Linked DNA regions of Daphnia pulex. The protein of the gene in region 1 binds, or shares a complex with, the protein of each later gene. Links are inferred from orthologs where the notes say so. Each region holds a gene or a part of one and is shown in the gene's direction. Other genes may lie near its edges.

What was found. Proteins that work in one complex are often made in the same cells at the same time.
Region 2: U4/U6.U5 tri-snRNP-associated protein 1-like (region 1) and U6 snRNA-associated Sm-like protein LSm7 share a complex: the UniProt entries of both Homo sapiens proteins name them as parts of the U4/U6-U5 tri-snRNP complex. The link is inferred for Daphnia pulex from reciprocal best matches to the Homo sapiens genes SART1 and LSM7.

What each region holds. Positions count from the first base shown.
Region 1 is NC_060026.1:10,447,641-10,451,398, forward strand, and holds the start of U4/U6.U5 tri-snRNP-associated protein 1-like, read left to right. Parts: upstream 1-1,216; 5' UTR 1,217-1,242; intron 1,243-1,343; 5' UTR 1,344-1,545; intron 1,546-1,626; exon of another isoform or gene 1,627-1,649; 5' UTR 1,650-1,662; coding exon 1,663-1,828; intron 1,829-1,883; coding exon 1,884-2,054; intron 2,055-2,111; coding exon 2,112-2,437; intron 2,438-2,501; coding exon 2,502-2,763; intron 2,764-2,821; coding exon 2,822-3,121; intron 3,122-3,186; coding exon 3,187-3,470; intron 3,471-3,543; coding exon 3,544-3,706; intron 3,707-3,758. UniProt on the Homo sapiens protein: Plays a role in mRNA splicing as a component of the U4/U6-U5 tri-snRNP, one of the building blocks of the spliceosome. May also bind to DNA.
Region 2 is NC_060025.1:134,756-137,306, reverse strand, and holds U6 snRNA-associated Sm-like protein LSm7, read left to right. Parts: upstream 1-818; 5' UTR 819-908; coding exon 909-917; intron 918-1,152; coding exon 1,153-1,357; intron 1,358-1,434; coding exon 1,435-1,571; 3' UTR 1,572-1,938; downstream 1,939-2,551. Other genes in the region: XK-related protein 7-like, read left to right, coding at 1-6; myotubularin-related protein 10-B-like, read right to left, coding at 2,003-2,190, 2,259-2,551. UniProt on the Homo sapiens protein: Plays a role in pre-mRNA splicing as component of the U4/U6-U5 tri-snRNP complex that is involved in spliceosome assembly, and as component of the precatalytic spliceosome (spliceosome B complex).

The sequences.
Region 1 (3,758 bases):
AATATTCGGTAACATACACACACAAGAAATTTAATTTGTAATGTGAAAATAAGATTACCAGTCATGTACTACACCAATATGTCTAGTTGATTTCATCTTGCAAAAAGGAAGAATATGTTCTTTGAGGATGTTGTTGTATGTTCTTGAATCGAACTTGCCAGTCACTCTGCACAGAGAAATATTTGGATGGAACGAAGATATACCACCAAAAAACAACACAGTATTACCAGTTTATTTCTCCGAACCAAAATGCAACTCTATCTTGCTGTTTTTGTCGTAACTGGAATTAGGCAACTTCGAACTGGAATTGAGCAATATTCCTAACGATTCAACAAGCGATTCGCCACTCAAAGAGGCCGTTTTTGATTTAGCGGAAATCGTCGCTAGGGGTTCTAAAAATTAACAAATAGATGGGTTTTGTGCAAAATTTTTCGCTAAGTCGATTGCTGAAAACCGCAATCGCCTAGCTTTTGTAATTTGGGAGATTTTTTTAAAAAAACTGAGAGGGGGTAGCCGAAATTTGGAATTTTTTTCGTTTTTTGTGCAGCAGTTTTCTCGTCAACTGCTGCACCTGGAAATATTCGAATTGTTTCATAATGATGGGATAGCCCACCTCTTCAAACAATTTTCATGTTTTTTCGATGCTCGGCTCAGAAGCCGAGATATTAACGATTGAAATTTTTGAAAAAATTTCTAAAAATTTCTTCGTTTTTCGGCCATGCCGGGCTTCATCCTATAAGCCACCTAGCGCTGCGAAAATCGAGAGGGGGTGGTCACCCCAACAGACCCTATATTCAGGGTAAACGTGGTCCGATTTGGAAACTGGAATGAGCGCTCTAGTGAGTGTGTCAGCTACTACGCTTAGCTACTTTTGAGAGCCTAGATGGCTCTGTTTCCAGTTTCTACTTCACAATTCTGACAAGCTCCGCCCTAAAATGTCTGAAAATCGGGGATACGTTTACCCTAAAACCGGGATAGGGAAGCCAACACAGCCGAGAACCGACCAGGCATCTATTGCTCTGGTTCTGCTATCGGCCGCAGTGGTGCGCATCGGCGTAAACTGCGCAGGACTTTTTGTTCGACTACTACTTTTTCATTGGAATAACATCTATAGTCTTTGAGGCGATCAGCCTACCTCACTAGCGAACCTGGTGCGGAATCTTGGAACCCTTAGTATAAACAAAAATCGACAACGACATTGTTCGTTTTGGACTTTTGGTTTTGCCGCACAAGTCTTCACATGTAAAACAAATAGTTAAAAACTATACTGGCCTTAATGTTTTCATTATGTTTTTCCTTTATTGATTTACGGATAAATTTATCTTCTGTTTTCTTTTTTTAAGTTTTATTCAATAGGAGGATTAACACGCCATCTGTTGCGGAATCAATGGATTTGTATTTGTCCCCGCTTTCCAATCCCGCATTTAGCAATTTACCAACACCCAACGGCATCAAAATAAATATTGCAAAAGCTGAAGTCTGCTTCTCAGTTCTCAAGTTCTGAAGTAAAATTGTTGCAAGATCATTAAGTGAATACAGATTCTGGTACCCTACTTTTATTGTTTGATATTTTAAGGAATTCTATTGAAAAAAATTTTATGTTTAAAGAAATCAAAACTTCCCACCTAAGTTAAACTACTTTCTTTCAGTTCTTAAGGAGACATGGACCGAAAAGAAAGTCGCGATCATAATAATTTTCGAAAAAGAAGACATCGTTCCCCATCTAGGTCTCCGTCAAGATCACATTCAAAAAGTTATGCCTCCGTCAAATCCAAACAAATAAAGGAAGATATAAGTCTCAACATTCAGAGCGAAGAACTGTTGACAGGTATGTATTCAAAATTATGTTTATTAGTAACTAGTAACCAATAATTTTTTTTAAGGAAAAGGGAATGATGAAAGACCAGTTGCTAATTCAACCAATGATACTTCCATTTCGATTGAGGAAACCAACAGAATAAGAGCTGAACTTGGTTTGAAGCCATTGGAGATTGGAGGAGAAAATTCAAATGTTGAAGCCAGTACTGAGAAAAAGGATGTTCATGTCCCAGCAGGTAATGATTTCATTTAAATGTCTTTACTTGTACAATTTAAATGTGGTATTTCTCTAGAGAACCTCCGTGAAAAGAAAGCCACAGAAGAGTTGAGACGAAAACTAGATGAAAGACGAGAAAAGAGGCAAATAGAACAAAAGCTTGCACAAGTGCGCACTCTTGCTCATACAACAGCTGATGATGATGACAATGCTGTTAGCTGGGTTGAAAAATCAAGAAGGATTCAGAAAGAAAAGGAAGAAGCTAATAAAAGAGCAAAAATGCTTGAAGAAATGGATGAAGCATTTGGTGTAGGAGATATGGTAACTACTGAACTGATTAAACAAAAAGCAAAAGCATACACAAGTAGAGACTTACGAGGAATAAAAGTAGAACATGACCGGGTAAGTCACCGACAACGTATACTTTTATTTGAATACCTGTGTTGATGTTGCTTTATTTTGTTAGGAAATGATAGCTGAAGGGAAAGAAGTAGTATTGACTCTTAAAGATCAAAACATCTTGCAAGAGGAAGGGGATGTTTTGGTGAATGTCAACCTTGTTGATATAGAACGCTACAAAAAGAACAATGAAATCAAGAAACAGAGACCGGGATATCAGCCCTATGAAGAGGAAGAAGTTGATGAATTGGGCCTTCCCAAACCAAAGCTCTTGCTTGCTAAATATGACACAGAAATAGAAGGAGAAAAACATGATAGCTTTGTCCTAGGTAAAATATTAGATTTGTTTTGTTGATCTTTACAAAAATATTTATGTTAAAATTCTAGGTAAAATTGGAGATGAAGAAGCCAAAATGAAAGCCCAAAAGTTGATGAAAGACAAACTCAAAATGCAACAGAAGAAAATTGAATCACTGGAATCGCGACCGCTCCAAATTGCATCTGAATATTATACAGCAGAAGAAATGGTTTCCTTCAAAAAAGTTAAACGTCGCGTCAAAAAGGTTCGATCCAAAGGCGACGGCATTTTAAAAGCTGACGATCTTATTCAAGAAACGCAAGAAACAACTTCGTCAGACTTGGGATCGAGATCTCGAAAGAAGAGAATGGATGAAGAGGTCACAGAAGGTATTTTAGTTTGACTAGTATATTGTTTTATTATTACTTATTATGTCTTGTTTATCCAACGCCAGATTTAAGCGGATTCAAGATTACTGTAGACGAATCCCAAAAAGAAATACGTCAGGCACTATTAAAAGCTAATAAACTAAAAGAAAGGAAGGCTGATCAGTGGGACATGAACATGATTACGCGGTCATTAAAACGCGAGCCTTTGGAAGAAACGGAAGGTATGGAAGAGGATCCTCTGAAGAGTAGTATCATACTGAATGCCACAGCAGAATTCTGTCGTACTCTTGGTGACATACCAACCTATGGTATGGCAGGCAATCGTGATGAAGACGAAGATGAGTTAATGGTAATTCATTGCATGAATGTTTTTTTTTTTTTGGTTTTGACTTTAATTAATTGCGTTTCTGTTTTGGCAATAGGATTTCGAGCGACAGTTGGCAGAAGAACGCAGAAGAAATCAAGAAAAAGAAGAGCGAAAAAGGGAGGCTGAGCGTCTTCAAGAACGCGGTGGATGGAATGTTCTGGAACGTGAAAACGATCAAGGTTCCGACGACAGCATGGATGTCGATCGTAATGAAAAGGGTATGTATACTGTGTTCTCGTCACTTTTATTGTTGTCAGTGTTTGCATTTTT
Region 2 (2,551 bases), on another chromosome or scaffold:
CCATAAATTGTTGATTTTCTAACATGGCCATAACCTTATTTGCTCCTGTTTAATTGTCACGTTAAGAGTGATCTTGACTTTAATACAGAATCACACCTCTATCTGCCACCTCTGCTGTAACTTGTAAGCTGACAGTATGAAAGTCTCTATCTAATGACATGTAACATTTTTCTCTTACAGTTTTTAACCTTAAGGAATGGTAGATCATTTGATTGACACTTACCCCAAGACAAAGTGATTGGCTGGACTCAATTGGATTCCATTATTCAAAAGTGGCAGCTGGCAGGATCAGACTCAACGATACAGCAGAGCAGGCTACTATCCAGGATCAGTTCAATTTTAACCTGAAGAAAAAAGATTTCCCATTTAAAAAACTCGTTTACTGTTCGGTGTAGATAGACAGAAAATTTGAAATATCAAAAGAATCGTTCTTTTCAGATTGTCAGGCCGCGACGACTAAGATGAGTGGAGGGAATCGTGATAGGAATCTATCAAATATCGTATTGTTCTTTTTGTTGTTGGCATTCAATAAATTGACCAGCTCCTCATGAACACCAATACAGTGTCGGAATAGTATCAAGTAATCTGATTTCGTCTTATAGAATTCAAATCAAGCAGAGTTACATCGAAACTTGACTCATCATATTGCCTGCAAATGTGGGACCGTTGCCAGTCCATCTCCGGTCCAAACTGATGAGGCTTTCAATAAATCCACAGTAAAAAAAAACGCCATCTAAAATATTCAATGAATGGAAAAATAATTATAAAGAAAAGATTTGAAAAAAAGAGTGGTTAAAATATTCATTGAAATCAATATTTGGCACCGGTGCTGCGCTATTCCGATTTTGATTTTTACAACATTGCAGACGACTCTATTGTTTTCTGTACACCAAACCCAAACGGCAAAAATGGCAGCCGTAAGTATTTAATTTACTAAATGAATTAGTGGTCTATAATCCCAAGACATGAAATGACAAGCACTGAATATATTTAAGCTATGAATAATGTCTGAAAAACATTGATCTGCCTGTCGTAAATTGGGTACAATTAATAGCAATGCGTCACGTCACTCATGGCTTTTATTGGCTACTGCTTTAGAATTACATCATTCTGGGTTTTGCTAATAACGTTATTCATTTCCTTTCTTTTTAGCAAAAGGTCGATAAATCCACACCGGCAACAGGTAGCCCAGCAGATTTAAAGGAGAAGAAGAAGGAAAGAATCTTGGACTTGTCCCGTTACATGGACAAGTTGATCAGAGTCAAGTTTACCGGAGGCAGAGAGGCAGCTGGTATACTTAAAGGTTACGATCCTCTACTCAACATTGTCCTGGACAACACGGTAGAATATCTAAGAGGTAAGACTTGAGAACTACCACAAATTGTATGTGAAACAAGATTGACTTAAAATTCCTGTTATGTCTTGTATTTCTAGATTCGGAAGATTCATTCAAGTTGTCAGAAGACACCAGACAGTTGGGCTTGGTGGTTTGTCGTGGAACAGCTGTTGTTCTCATCTGCCCTGCTGACGGTATGGAAGCCATTGCCAACCCTTTCATTCAACCAGAATAATTGATTTTTTTTTTCTAAATTGAACCAATGATCATTTGTCTGTGTGTTGTTTCCCAATTTTCCAATAATAAAAGAACGAGAAAAAGGTGAAATAGTATAATAATATTATTAAAATCCTTCAAAAAAACGGATAGGTAAAAGAACACGGATCGACAATGATAATAATACGATGATTTGAATAAATGATTCAATTTTTATGCAATTATATAGCAGTAATGCAAAACAGAATTATATTTTTAGAAGGCGATTAGAAAAGAGCCTACGAAGGTCGAATTCATATTTATGTACTTTTAAGTGTAGGAAAATTGGAGAGGCACCGTCTCATCTTTCTGTGTGAATGTCACAACATTCGGCCGTCAAACGAACTGGACAACGTGAAATGAATCGAGAGGAAAATTCTAAAGGCAATGATAATAACTGATGTTCAAATCTCAATCGGTGACAAAAGAGTCGGAATCGAATTCAGCTTCGACGGCCCGACTTCCAGTCGAACGGAGTGTGGAGCCGGAAATGACGGGCGAAGGAACAATTTCCCACTCGCCGAATGACAAGGCAGAATCGTTTTGTTGCTGGACGAACGGGTGGAAGCTGCTCAGCGTCACCTGACTTCCAGGTTGGCCTGAATAAGAAATCAAAATTAAGAAAAAACAAACAAACAATTGAAAGTGAGTCGACAGCGGTTGATACCCGGTGAATGGTCGCTCATGGTGACGAAACGTTGACTTGGCGACGAAGAAATGTCCGCCTCGCCATTGTTACTCAAGTCGTGCTGCAACTGGCACTGGTGCAATTTGTCCAGCTGCGATTCTAGACTGAGAATGTCGTTGACCAAGGCGCAGTGATGGAAATAGACGGGCGGATGTCCACCACCGCGGACGTCGAGAACCGGAATCCACCGCAAGTAGCACTGACTCCACAGACGGAAGTCGACGAAGGAATCGGCCACCGGGAGCATCGAATAAACGGGCCAGTCCAGTTCG